Linked DNA regions of Drosophila melanogaster. The protein of the gene in region 1 interacts with the protein of each later gene in a pairwise test. Each region holds a gene or a part of one and is shown in the gene's direction. Other genes may lie near its edges.

What was found.
Region 2: the proteins of Vm32E (region 1) and Hey interact in a two-hybrid assay, tested with the Drosophila melanogaster proteins (one large-scale study listed by BioGRID).

What each region holds. Positions count from the first base shown.
Region 1 is NT_033779.5:11,168,348-11,174,802, reverse strand, and holds Vm32E (vitelline membrane 32E), read left to right. Parts: upstream 1-3,137; 5' UTR 3,138-3,168; coding exon 3,169-3,519; 3' UTR 3,520-3,636; downstream 3,637-6,455. UniProt on the Drosophila melanogaster protein: Major early eggshell protein.
Region 2 is NT_033778.4:7,992,737-8,001,535, reverse strand, and holds Hey (Hairy/E(spl)-related with YRPW motif), read left to right. Parts: upstream 1-3,257; 5' UTR 3,258-3,443; coding exon 3,444-3,703; intron 3,704-4,116; coding exon 4,117-4,331; intron 4,332-5,072; coding exon 5,073-5,875; 3' UTR 5,876-6,098; downstream 6,099-8,799. Other genes in the region: CG11191 (uncharacterized protein), read left to right, coding at 1-655; Dic3 (dicarboxylate carrier 3), read left to right, coding at 6,609-7,021, 7,192-7,642. UniProt on the Drosophila melanogaster protein: Transcriptional repressor which acts as a downstream effector of Notch signaling.

The sequences.
Region 1 (6,455 bases):
GTTCGATAGAGTAAATGGTCTCGTATTGCATCGGCGACACACAAGTGGCTCAACCCGCACATCCTGGTCCAGGATGCATCCGCCCACAACTGCCTAGTTGGCCCCATTAATCGTATTCAACGCGACTGTATCCTATATCCTGGCAGGAGTGCGCTTCCGCCCCATCGGCTCCTCCCCATTGAAATACGCCTTGAATGGAATTTGAAAATCGATAAATGGCAATGGCGACGGAAATTGCTCTTCCATGGCGGTTGACACCGTGTTAATGGGCCACTTATAACGGCATTGTTAGCGCTACTTGCACACGGATCTCATCCACGGCCACTTAATGTGCATCTCCGCCATTCCCATTCCCACTACCATTGCCCATACCCGCCGGTTTGGGTCTTGTTAACCCCGCAGTGTTGTAGCCAATGCAGCTGCTTCTGTTTTTGGCCACAAAACGAGGACACGTGCCCCGTTCCGAAGGCATGAATTATAAGGAATCGCGAGCAACTGAAAGGTGTTTCGTTCGCTCGGCTTGCTGCTAATTAAATTTAATTTAAAACAAAGCTCGGCATTTCGTCAACGTTCGCGATTCGAGGATACCCCGTGCCATCTCGTCCTCCATCACCATCTCATAATTGACTGCTGCTGCTGCTGGTGGTAAAAAAAAAAAGGAAACAGGGTCTTAAATTACCGGCGGGAAAGTGTGGCAACACATCGAGTCCTTTTTTTTCGGCTCGATTAACTTAGATGCCGTAAAAAGTATTAGGCTGCAGCGAAACGACTGCTATTCCAGCCTTTGAAGCACTGCAAAAAAAAAAGATGTGTTACATATGCAACTTAAGTTATACACATAGTTATTTAAATATATTTTCAATCCCTCTGGTTCATTTATAGATAGAATAAAGTTACAACTGAAAGTTAATCAAAATTTAGTTAAAATGTGACTCATCCGATCAGCAAATGATTTGTGAATAACATTTTTTCTCGGTGCACGGAGGAGGAGGATGATGGCCATGGGCCAAGGACCAGCGACCATGGTGTATCCGGCGCCGAATCATCCGCTAAGTACCGAGACATGTTATATGCTTGTCTGCTTTTTTGCCCTTGGTGTTTGTCCCCATGTGTGCGTATGTTCTGGATCCTCCTCCTCAGCCGCAGGACCAAGTCAATGGAGCAAACGGCAGGAGCAGCTGGGTCAGTCTTAGTCGCTGTCTAAGCGAAGGCAGGTGGCTCGAGCCAATGCCGATTAAAGCCACTGATCTCAGTGAAGCGTCTAGAAAAAAAATTGAACGAAAACAAAGGAGTAGAAAGAAGGCCATAAAATATTTGAGAAGTGAAGGCCTACGGATTGTATGCTTAGTCAATAAAACAAAGGCTAAGTCTTAAATATTCATTGATCAGTTGCTGAACCAATAACCAATTAAAATCCACCTAAGATGGTGTATGTCCCAAGGCCATTATTCTATATAATATTACCCCACCCTGGACTACCTGCAATTGGAGTTCCAGTTAAGATGTATATCTTGGGGCCATGTCTGGATCGCACACACACACACACATACACACACGTACGCACACCGAAAACAAGGGCAGGTATTTGTTTACCGTTAGAGGGGGCAATCAAAACGGCTCTACACCCGAAAATTTCGATGGATCCACTTCGAAACGAAGGTGCCCCACTTTGAAGGCCAGCGGCAGGCGATCGGCACAAAGCCTATGATTAAAATTTAGGTCCGATCTTATACATATGTATGTATGTATGTATGTACGTATGTGGTGTGCTTTATATGGTGCATGTGCGTAATTGCCCGACCCAAAATCCAGCGGTCGCGATCCTTCTCAAATTAAAGTATACACCCCTCTTCGCTTTTCGGCGGGGAAAGTTACCTGCGGCCAAAGTTAGATTCAAAAACAATATCAACTTGAGGGGGGCTTTCGTTTTGGACAGACAGTTGCATGAGAAACTGTTTGTTATCATCAGCAAATTGTATAACTAAAGCCACAATTAGAGAAGGAATTATTGAACGAGACACAGGTTCCAAATCGAATAGTCATCAATCATAATTATAAATATTACATCTTAAGCTTAGAAAAGAATGGGCTAGTACACACATAGCTGTTTTACTTGCTGCTCTTACGAATTAAACCAATTATGCAAATAGATCTTTTTAAGCATTATTTTCTTACCAACCTTCCAGGAAACTATGTTTCTTATTTGCATAGAATATCATTCAAAAAACGGGTTGCAATTTATGCACTCTACATTCAAGTTTATGACTGTTTCGTTTTGGTCAATTAGGATTTCCATAATAAATGGACGCAGGTCAAATCGAGTTATGACTAAAAGATGACATAAATTTTCAATACAAATTTCCATTTATTGCTAAATTATCGTAAAAGAAACTGAAACAGATAGGTTGGCAAAAAGATCTCTATATGCCGAATATAATAAAAAGAAAACTTAATCAATTAGAATATTTGCAAATTGTGTAAATTTATATTTTTATGTTCTGACTTTATAAATAAACTGAAAACTTTATAAACATTTTTTTATCGTAACATGAAATTATGTGTTTGAAGGCAAAACTCTTGAAATACGATAAACTAGTCTCCAAGGCGAAATCTAGATTGTGGTTTGTGTACTCGCTAAGGAGACCTGATCTGTTCTGAGTGTACCCGCTAGGGGTCGCTCTACTACATACGATAAGATAAAATGACTTCTTTATTTAATTTTTAGGATAACCATTTTTAAAAGCGAAGTATTTATTAGCAGATTAAATGTTACATACGTTTTATTAACTTGTAAAAATTGGCAGCCGTTTAAGTAATACTTAAATATCGTACTTGGGAAATTGGGTCAATAAACAGCTGAGGTCCAAAAAATGAGCAAATTCACATTCGATTTGCACTTTGGACGCAATAATTTAATTGCTCTGCTATTAAGCTCTGCAAAAAGGGAGACAGACTGCATGGTGACAGTAATTTTTTGCCACATTAGGTGATAATCGTCTGCTTGTTTCTAGTTTGCGACCCGTTTAAATTGCTTGCTATGTGATGGCACTGCATTTCTTAAAGCCTACGGTAAAAGTGCCGAGTTTTGTTATTAAAGTCAACGCATGAATGCTATAAGAATGCCACCATTGGTCACTAAATCGACAGTTGTAAATCACTTAGTTCATCATGCAGATCGTTGCTCTCACCCTCGTTGCGTTTGTGGCCATTGCCGGTGCCTCCTGCCCGTATGCAGCTCCAGCTCCAGCTTATTCAGCGCCCGCTGCTTCTTCTGGCTACCCGGCTCCACCATGCCCCACCAACTACCTGTTCAGCTGCCAGCCCAATTTGGCCCCAGCTCCTTGTGCCCAGGAGGCCCCAGCCTATGGATCCGCCGGCGCCTACACAGAACAGGTGCCCCACTACGTGGGAAGTCCCAACCGAGAGCAGTTGCAGCAATTTCACCAGCGCATTGGAATGGCGGCTTTGATGGAGGAACTGCGCGGCTTGGGCCAAGGAATCCAGGGTCAACAGTACTAGTGGCAAAAAAAAATTCATGTGAAGAATGTTTTCGAATTAAATCCGTCTATGCTTTAATTGGACTTTATACTATGGAACAAAAAAAAATTGGGATTGGAGATAAGGAAAACTGGTAACAAAAAAAAAAATGATTTAAAACTTATTTTTTGTTGTTTTGTGCCCTCTGCCCTCCGATTCCTTTTCGAAAGCCATAAAGAACATGTGTCGTCTGTATTTATATATTCTAACTGCAGCCGTCCTAAAACGGATTATTGCAAGCCATTTTCCGAGCGATTCACCTCTTGAATTTCCCATTACTAGATGATTCTCACGAGATCGTCTCCGTTGGTTTCTCTCGCGGGCATTTTTGTCAATGGATGCGGCGCGGGTGCCAAATATATTGTCAGTCGAAATTGCTGTCTTGTGCGGTCGGTCGCATATTCAGACGTCTCCACCGCGAACCGCTTGAAACTGCTCCACATTGCTTTGCCCAAGTGGATCACGCCCTCGGAACATAAATCCCATCAAGCATATAGATTCCAGCAGGATGGCGTTGCGTTCGTTCAAATCGCTGCCATGTGACGGACTCTAAGTCCCATAGCCACATTTGTGACCCAATTCGATGAGCAATTGTGTCTGTGTGCCTGTGTGTGTGTGTGTGTGTGCGGGGCTCTTGGCCATTTAACGATTAGTGGCCATAACGGCAAAGTGTTTGTTTATTTTGTTGTGCGACCGCAGAAACGATTCCAAAAATGATTGCATAATTGACTTTTGGCGGGGGGGTGTAGAAATCGCGCTAGACGCTCAGCATAAATTTCGGCTTGTGTTCCTATACCGTTTGTGATTCCAAAACAATTTGTGAGCCATGAAAAAGCTTCATCTGGGTGCCAAGCACAAGGGCAAGTCCTACAAGCCCTTTAGGAATAAGAATCGTCGGGTAAGTGAAAGTAATAGATCGGTTAGACATCCTAATCTTACCCCTTATTTTAATGTGCCCCCGGGCCCGGGCGGAATTCGTATATTTTTATCCACTCGATCGCTCGCAGACTGCTCGCCCAGCTTGTCAGGCTATTCACGACCATTTAAATACACACATACACGAAGTGAATACAGTGCGTACCAGAATGTAGTGCCAACGCGGCGGATGAGTGATTTTCCCAAGCGAAAGGGATGCGAGATTACTCATACGCCTAGTTTTTCTGGGCACGAAACTATAAAGCAAAGCAGTTGCATGGTTATAATGCAACATATGTTATACATTTATATTTATTGTAAGTGATGTGTAATTTATAGTAAGAACAGTCGCCTTGATAATAAACTAATTGGAGTAAAGTGGTTGTATTGTAAGAGGCTTCGTTTGTTTTTCACCTGCACTTCAATTAATTTCTTGTTATTTAATTATAATACTCACTGTATTTGTATGACAACGGTTGTTTTTAAATTTAAATTCTCTTAGTTCTCCCACAGACAATTTGGGGGCCAAAGAGGCTATCACACCTCTTACTCATCTTCGAAATCTGCATAGTTGTAAGCATAGTGAATGTTGATACTTTTGCGATACTCAGAAATCACTAATTTGTTGTTATGCGTTTGCAACTAGACTAAAAGAACTTTGCAAAATTCGTAAAAATATATGCTTAAGCATGTTTAAATGGAATATACATAAGTGTCTGTATAGTTATGCATTTTACATTAAAACATCGTTGTATACGATTAACTCGATATATTCTGAGTTATTTTAATTACCGAGACTAGTTTTTAAAAAATGTCTATTCAAGACCACTAAATTGCATTACTCTACATTACCCTAACTATTTATATATCTAATACGTTCATTGCAATTGGGAATCATGAATGTTATTTGAGCCTTTTGAAAACGCTGCAATGCCAAACGGCAGGTGAGGAGCAATTCGCTGACGCGCGGTCATCGACGGTGCCGGAAAAATGGGAAACATTCGGGCTGACCATGAAAATATTTGCCAAAGGGCTGAGGGGCAAAATTGCACTGGAATCCGAAAGCAGAGCGTTGACCCACCCGAAGAAAAAAACTATCCCACCGAGCGTTGGAAGTGGGTGGCTGTGGGTGGCGATGCGATGTCGATGACAACGAAAGTTCATTACTAGTTGTTGGGCACTTTGCCCGCTGCAAAGTATGATGGGACTTTTGGGCAATCGGCGAAAGGTAAACAAAGAATCGACCCGAGGTACACAAACAACACCCGACCCCCTCGCCCCACTTCAATTCAGCGATTAAAGGGGGATCCCCTTTTGTTTTACATATTGCCTTTTGGAAATGTGTAAACGCAAATTGAGACCATCGCCCGCGACCTTCCCCGTTAACGGTTAAATGGGGAGAGCCGGAGAAAGAGTGTGGAGAAGAATAAATGCCGACGCATGCGCGGAGCAAAAGTGGAGAATTGCTTTCTGCGCATGCTCCTCTGCTCTTTTGTTCTCTCAGCCTCCTACTCTCTCGCATCCTGTCACTTTAAGTGAGGAAATGGAAAACGGAATGTTTACGTTATGGCCACAGTGAGATACAAAATTGATATAAACCAAGTCGATATTGAAAGGCTTATTGAATGGGAATAAAACACTTTTCTTTCTAATTCTAATTTAACAAGTACTTTAAAGAGCTAAATAAAAAGTAGTTTATTAATGCCATTGTTTTTTGTATATACATATATAAAATTTCAACTATTACATTTGCTTTCCAAAACATTGATTATTTTTAGAATTGTTGAAAACATAATATTAAAGCAACAATTATTTTAAACATCTATCACATGAATAAATTTGTGATACTAAAACTACCAGCCTACATTGAACATTTTTAAAGTGGTTGTAAAGTGGATGTAAATTTTAAATGCCAATGCTACGATTAATTTAAAAAATATGTGTGTGCTTGAGAGACCTGCGACCAACAGCTGTAACCCTTTTCGTTTGGAGGTTTTGGCGCT
Region 2 (8,799 bases), on another chromosome or scaffold:
GGTGGAGGAACTGCAGCCAGCGGCCAAGCATGACCTGCGCACCAAATACATGATGAGCTGCGGCAACTACGAGGTGTTGGACACACCACTAACGACCATCGAGTTCGAGCGGGTGAAATACAAGGCGAATGTACGCTACCTGCGGCACACGCCCTCCAATTCCAGTCTGGATCTGCAGCTGGAGGAACAGAAGGAGGAGCAGCCAGAGCAGCAGCAGCAGCAGCAGGCTACTCCGCGGAAACAGCAAGTGCTGCAGCAGGCAACTCCTAGGAAACAACAAGTGCAGCAAAGGATTCCCACGCCCAGCCGCTACCATCCCTGCAGTATCAGCCTGGGCTCCAAGCTGGAGGGCAACTACCACAGCGTGGTGATCATGGAGCCACCGCACGACGACTTCCCCATTGTTAAGTGGGACATCAACGGGAACTCCCTGGACGACGACGCCTGCGATCGCTGGGATGACTTCGAAGCCAGGTGGCGGCAGGCGGCGGCGGCCACCAGATCCCTCTCCCAGTCGCAAAAGTCCAGCCACCAGTCCAGCTCCTGCACCCTGGAGACCTGGGTGGACGACACGGAGCCCCTCAGCCTGGAGCTGCACCGACACGACAATGCAGTAGGCGGAAACAACTGCAATCTTTGCCTTAGGAGCTTCTGAGACCGGAAACGGACACTCGGCGGCTTTGTAACCTCCACTTTGCGTCCAGCGATAGAGCACGAAAACCAGTCTTGTGAGAATTACCTACATACGAGTATATTATACATATATGTAATCGAGTATTTGAGTCGGTAGACCGCAATTTTCATTATAGAAAGTTGTTTTCGAGAATATCCATTAACAATAAAGTGTGTATGTGTGTGCGGCGCCATACCTTTGGCTCCATACCTTGAGTAATGCACTTCAGAATGCGAATACGAATGCGAATGCCCTGTGCCCCGTGGGTGGGAGTAAGTTCATCGCCCACCCATCCATCCATCGATCCATTCCGGCGCACGACCCGCACGTGTGCTGGACGCTCGTGAGAATCCGTAGACCTTTGGCTTTCCCACGAGCCACGGCTGCGATTTCGTGGGTTCGTCCCGTTGTCGGTGGTGCAACTTGCCCGCCACTATTCATCCACTTGATTTGGGGTGGGTTCCGGCGATTCGGAGCGAGTTTGTCCCACGCTGGCACTGCCACTGGCATTGGCCATTAGACATTAGGCATTTTCACTTTGCTGCTTGCCGCACTCGAAACCTGAGCGACAGCATGCCGAATCAAATGAAAAGCACTTTTTATAATTTTCGATTTTGATGTACGTTTTTGAAATTGATACGGGGCTCCATTATAGTCAAGCTTACGCCTCGACCATCGAAATTAATCGAGAAAATGGGAGAAATGCTACACTAAATCATTTTGTGGGGGAGAATAACTAATGATATTTCCAGTTATATGCGAAATTGCAACATATAATAGTAAAGGGATATAAAAGTATATACAATAGTATAGGGATTCATATAGCAATATTGGGATTCTTTAGGGTGACAGGACAAAGGAGTTGAAATGAACATTTTAACATAGATATCTACAGAAGAATTATTTTTGCATAACGATAATTCAAGTATAGTTTTTATTAGGGAAAGTTATGTCAAACCACAACGTACATATATATGTAAATATATCAGCTCCACCGTATACTGTTTTTCATTCGCATTTTAATTGTTTTTAATCTACTGCTAGCTTTAAACACACATTCCGTGCGGCTGATATAAGAAATAATGGGAAATTTTGGATGAAATAGTTTATCATAATAAAATTTATAGGTAATATTGACATTGATCAGCTTGTTATATTGAATTTATGAACACAATACTGTCAAAATATATTACATTAAAGTTAATGGGGAAACATTAACCAAAACAGACAGAACGTTAATTTCGATGTTAACTATCTCAGCTTGTAAAATCATTAGAAAAACTGACAAATTTTGGTGGAATAGCGATCAAAGCTGTCAAAAAAAATAGTGAAATCAAAAATATCAAAACATTTTTCAAAAGTTTTAGATTGACAGCTTGTGGCCATTAGACTGGGAGTGGCCAAAATATTTTTAAAAAATATGACAATTTTGCAAAAGTATGGACGTGGCAGTTTTAGCCGGTTTGTGTCCTTAAGAGTAGGCGTTGCAATCTTCTGTAACAATCTAGCTCTTAATCCTAGTAACTAGTTTTACATTCATGCTTTTATAGTTCCCGAGAGCTCAGCGTTCATACAATTACAAGGAACAATTAAGGAAGTTATAAGATTAGCCAATTCAGCAAAAAATTTAGAATGGATTAAATCATGTGAATATTCGAAATGCAGTGACAAAGCGCATCTAAGAGTTTATAATGGCAAATCAAAAAGATAAAGAAAAAGATAAAGCTCACGTCTGCTTTTTCGTAAAATTGTACAACATATTTACGTTTTACCGTCGCCATCCAAGTTCCTTATATCCCTTTGTGATGAAACGCTGCTTTCGATAACATTAAAGTGAATTATTTCCGCATTAGCATATTTCTAGGTAAACAAGTCGATTTTACCTCGGGCAATTTCTAGGTCAACTTCGGTCACCTGCTGCCGCAGTCGTTGTTATCTCGTCTCCTGCTCCTGCTTCTGCACCTGTGGATGTTCCCGTTCCCATTCCGGACCCGGGATGCCGCAACCTTGAGCCGGCACTGACCTAGAACTGTGTGGGCCACCCACCAGCACGCGTCCCACTGCACAGATAGAGGTCAACGGCGGCTGTTGCACTTGTTGGGGCTTTACCCGGCGCCACGCGATGCCACACGACCGGCGCGTGCTCCAGTTTGAGTTCCATGGACGGGTGCAGCCGCTCCAGCGGCAAACAAGTGGACGGCGGACGCCGCCAGTTTGTCGCCCACGGCGCCGATTAAAGGCCGTGCTGCAGATGCTTTAGATGCTTTAGATGCTTTAGAGGCTGCTGAAAGGCTATATCAGATGGTCGGGCGATACAATCGGATGAATCGATGACAGAGGCTTGCTCATTTGCCGGCGCTGGTCGCTCCTTGTCGCACACTCTCACTTGCTCACTTGGCGGCGATCGCCGCGCGGCGAATATGTTTGCTTCCCGTTTCCTACCCCAATCTCGGCAAGCACGCGCTGCGCGTTGCCAGGGGGTGGTTGCTGCTGCATCTTATTGGACGGCTGCCGCAGGCGGTAAAAAGGGGTTGAGCGGCGGCAGCGGAGGGCAGGTCGTCCGCTCGACGTGTGCTACAGAATCAGTCGAACGCCGTTCGCGCACACGATAAGTCACGTGCTCAAACTAGCTCCGCCAGCCCGGTCTAGCCGCCAACTGCATCTGCCTCTGCAACTAGCAGCACGCAAAGCTACAGCTCAGCAACAGCAACATCAACACAGTAGTGTCAAGTGCGCAGGAGCAGCGAGTAAACACTGGTCACCACACACAATGGATCACAACATGCACGTCAATGCGCCATCGCTGCATCACTGGGGCTACGCCGCCGGACCCGGCGTGGTCATGCCCGGCGCCACCGCCACCACACCCCAGAGCCACTGGGTGCCGCCGCCGCAGAGCCACCACAGCGCCCACAGCAACCACAGCCACGGGCATAGCCAGGGCCATAGCCACGGCATCGGCAGCCTGAAGCGGACGCTTTCCGAGAGCGACTGCGACGATCTCTACTCCGAGGAGTCCTCCAAGGAACAGTGCGTACTCGTGACTTCTTATCAAAATTTGTTTTTCAATTTAGTGCACAAAAAGCTATTCGCAGTTCCCAAGTTAGGAGTTGTCTTGTAAAATGAAACCTTTGAAAATACCATGCGATGTGCAAACGTTTTATGTTGCTAAAAAAAATAGTGCGTCATGATATTTACTTAGTGAATCGAAGTCATGGATAACTCCACTTAACGCAAAGTTGCTGATAAACCATCAAAATATAAATCACTAAACTATAGGGTTTTAAGAAAAGATAGATTTTAAAATGTTCTGTAACTTAGAGGTTTTTTTAGTAACACCATAGAGTGTTTTTCAGTCTATGAAAGATTAAGATATTAAGATTAAGAATCTATCATTAACTTCAATCCATAGCTAATAGAAACCCTTTCCTCTGTTCCATTAGAATCTCGCCCAGTGAGCCGGGCAGCTGCCAACTGATGAGCCGCAAGAAGCGACGCGGAGTGATCGAGAAGAAGCGGCGGGATCGGATCAACTCCTCGCTCACCGAACTCAAGCGCCTGGTGCCCTCCGCCTACGAGAAGCAGGGATCCGCCAAGCTGGAGAAGGCCGAAATCCTTCAGCTGACCGTGGAGCATCTCAAGAGTCTGCAGTCTAAAAGTAAGTTTACCAAGCCCACTTGAGCTAGCTTAAAGAGGTTTTAAAAAGCAAATAGGCTAGCTGCACCACAGACCTCCTCACTGAAGTTAAACGCTTCTATGGGTCATTAATCACAATAGGAGCAAATAGAGGGTTAACTTGGGCAGCCAACTAAGTTGGTTAACTAAAAGAAGTAAAGTGTAAAGAAAGTAATTTCTTATTTCGACAGTTAATATTACATTAGGGCCCATTTAGCGCACTAATTAATCAAGGCATATCTGACATACATATGAACTTCAATACATTATAAAAAATTGGAATGGGAAAAACTGCAAGCAGAATCCCTAAACGCAAGCCGCTGTGGGAAACAATTGAGTAACGATATTAAATACAATATGCGGCAAATTATCACAAATCTGGGTAAACAATCCTGACCTGTTGTCCCGAACAGGGTCGAATTGTGGGAAAATTATGATTGCCGTAGGCAAAGCAGGACCACCACCACCAGCGCCAGCCTAGCGCTCAAGTGAATCTCGAATCTCGGGGCTTCCCACGCTCAGTAGCGGCACCACCACGATGGCAACCTTGTAGCCAGGCGCGGGCTTTCACCCCCCGATAGCCACCTCACAACAAGCCATCCCGCCGAAGGACATGGGGGTTGTTCTTTATGCTCGTCGCGTGGGAACAGCTATTTTAATTGTTTGCCTGAACTGGGATTAGACAGCTTATTGACTTTCTCCACCTCCTCGTATCTTGTTGCAGCTCTCGACTCGCTTAGCTATGATCCGCAGCGAGTGGCCATGGACTACCATATCATTGGGTTCCGCGAGTGCGCCGCAGAGGTGGCCCGCTATTTGGTCACCATCGAGGGCATGGACATTCAGGATCCTCTGCGCCTGCGCCTTATGTCCCACCTCCAGTACTTTGTGCAGCAGCGCGAACTGTCGGCCAAGAGCTGCGCCAGTCCGGGTGGCTGGTCTCCGGCTGCTCCCAGCTCCTCCGGCTATCAGCCAAACTGTGCGGCTGCTCCCTACCAGAGCTATGCGGCGCCAGCCAACCCGGGTGCCTATGTGTCCAGCTACCCCACACTAAGTGCCTCGCCCTCTCAGCAGGCTCAGCAACTGGGAGGACGCACCAGTGTCTCGCGGACAAGTGGAAGTGCCGTAACTGAATCGCTGCCCAGCCATGATCTCCACTCTGACAGCAGCAGCCAACAGCAGCAGCAACAGCAGCAGCAACAGCAGCAGCAGCAGCAACACCAACAGCAGCAGCATCAGCAGCAACAGCAACGGACGCAGACAACACCTCAGCCGACGCAGCAGCAACACTATACCCACGACCACAGCGCAGTGCATTCCGAGCAGCAGGTTCCCACCTACATAGAGCTGACCAACAGCAATCGTCCAGCGGCCATAGGTTCCGATAGCCTTAGCTATAGTGCTGCTCCTCAGTATCCGGTCAGCGGACTGCCAGGCCAGGACTACAACAACTCCAGTGTGCTGCAGTACGCCACTCCCAACGGAGCAAAGCCCTATCGTCCTTGGGGCGCCGAGATGGCCTATTGATTGTGGGCATAAGCCTCAGAAGGGATATTTCAACCTCTAGTCAGAGCAGACCAAGTGTGATAGTCTTAAGTTTCGCATCCTACACAGAGAGAAAAAAATGGAGAAACAACGCAGTGAGATTAGCTAGTCCCGTAAGCCTTTAAGCTTAAGTTATACCCTATGATAACTATAACTTTGAACACTTTGTGAATCTATTGTAAATAAACGCATGAGTGTATAAGTGAATATGTTGAAACTCGCTTGATAATTGATATTCGGATCAGGAAAGCCTTTCTAGTTGTTATATTTCGTGAAATCTCGACGTTCATACAGACGGACAGACGGACATGGCCAGATTGAATCAGGTATTGATTCCGATCAAAAATATATATATAATATATAATATATAAGAATATATATAATCCACGAGTAACGGGTATAATTATTAAAAACAATCAAAAAAGTTTAAACAAGTAGTGACGATCCACATTCAAAAATTTGAGGTATATCAATGACGCATACTTTGATTAGTGCTATTATTGGATTATCAGAGAAAATATTAATTTTAACGAACATTCTTGAGGTGCGCTTTGTCACTGCGAGGACTACCAGTTCGCCGTCATAGCGGCTGAATTATCCTTAGCTAAATGGGAACAATTCGTTGCAGCGAAAAATTTACCGAATTCTTTTTAGTTTTACACGTCAGATAGCTTAGGGTTTCTAAAAAAAAATTCCAAGAAATTAAGTTCGGTCTATGGGAGAAGACAGTTCGAGGCGCCTCCCGCGCTGGTGGTTTGGAGGGGTTTGCGCTGCAATCGCAGTCACCGGCACCCATCCGATTGATCTCATCAAGGTACAGCTGCAGACCCAATCCCAAGCGGACCGGAAGACCGTGGGGGAGATCCTTAAAGGCATACACGAGCGGAGCGGAATCTTGGGCTTTTACAATGGCATTTCGGCCTCCTGGTTTCGCCAGCTGACCTATACCACCACTCGCTTCGCCTTGTACGAGGCCGGTAAGGACTACGTCGACACGCAAAAAGTTAGTTCCAAGATGGCCCTGGCCACCTTTGCGGGAATCGTCGGTGGGATTGTGGGTGTACCCGGGGACGTGGTCACAGTGCGACTCCAGAACGACGTCAAGTTGCCGGAGGAGAAGCGACGTAAGTGAGTACTACCGGGGGCTCCTGTACCATAGATCTCCCAGACTTTGTCCATCTGTTCGTTTGTCTTCATCTCCACGTGCTTTTTTGGTTTGCTATTGATAATTAGTCATTAGGACAGCAAATTTCTTCCCCCCATACGTACGAGTCATATAATTAAGACGAATTCCGCAGCTACAAGCACGTTTTCGACGGCCTTTTCCGCATCTACAAAGAGGAGGGCGTGTCCAGTCTCTTCCGCGGCACAGTGCCGGCCGTTTCCAGGGCAGTCCTGCTGACCATCGGAACGAATGCAGCCTACGACCAAGTAAAGCAGATGCTCAAGATCGCAACGGGGGCAGGAGAGGGAGTACCACTGCACTTTGCCACATCCACGATAGCTGGATGCATTGCCGTGGTGATAACGCAGCCGCTCGATGTGATCAAGACGACTTTCATGAACGCCCAGCCGGGGGAGTTCTCCGGGATCGGAGGTGCTTTTCTGAGTACCGCCAAACAGGGCCCATTGGCCTTCTACAAGGGATTCATTCCGGCCCTGATACGAGTGTCACCCAATACGATTATCACCTTCGTTTTGTACGAGCAGGCGCGAATGCGATTTGGATATCTGCCACCTGACAAGTAGGGATGCCCCAAAATTCGTATCCATTTGGCATTTTTACATAAATTGTATTTTATACACGTGATTTGAAAATATAGAATCTTTCATACCAGACCATTGAATCGGAAGTAATCCGGGTCTAATCAGCAGCCACTGTGCTCATTAGCATCGCTGGACCAACGAGAACCGCTGACCGCTGACCATCGACCACCGACCACTAGCCGCTGGTCAGCGAGCTCTGGGGGTCAATGAATGCCGCTCACGGTTTATGAAATTTGCATACCCAGCAATAATAAACACATGAGCACCCAATCCGCGGCGGTTAGCTAAGCCGGCTGCACACTCGCTGCACTCGTAATTAGGGAGCGGGGTTAGCAAGGTGCAGGGGTCGCAACCCCGAACACCACGAGGAACGGGAAATTATCGAGGAAAACTGGAAAGCTGGCGACCGCAGGATCTTGTCCCTGCTCCAGAAACATAATCCCCAAAAGGGAAACAGTGTCACAAAGGTAGCAGGGTTAAAATATTTTAATATACGCTGGCATATTAGTTTAGTTTAGGGTGCTTTCGTAGGCCAAATGTGTTTCTAGAGGGACTGGTGGCTACCTAAGCTGCTCAACATGTTCCCGAAAAAAGGGTTTCTGTTTTGGTTCCAATGGTAAACTAACGAGCAAAACGTTCTAATGACCCAGAAATTAGATGAAAAGCGGTTAAAAACAATGCAATGCAAAATGAAACAATTGTTAGGAATGCTAGTCTAGAAACCTTTACTTAATTCTAAGTTAATTTCCTCAATTCGCATGCTTAAGAATTGAAATATTTATCGCAAATCCCGAGCTCATAGTTTAATTTAATTCAACACACTTTAGCTACTTGTAATTTGTTCTCTTGGCCCACAAAAATCACTTGAAACCAAAATTACAATTACATTGAAACCCAGCAACCGAAATTGCTGTCCATGGAGTGTGGGAACATTGCGAAACACCACCCCTGGCAATAAAAAACGAGAAACAATCTTTTGCGCATTAATTTCTTTTTGCCGGTTAAACACATATAAGTGATTCGGGCGACCTACCACGTTCGCGACCATGTGAGAGACCCCTGAGCTTTGACTTCCCACGCGGCGAGCAGCGCAACCACCACCCACCAGCGATTACAATATGCCCCAGACAGGGGTGGTT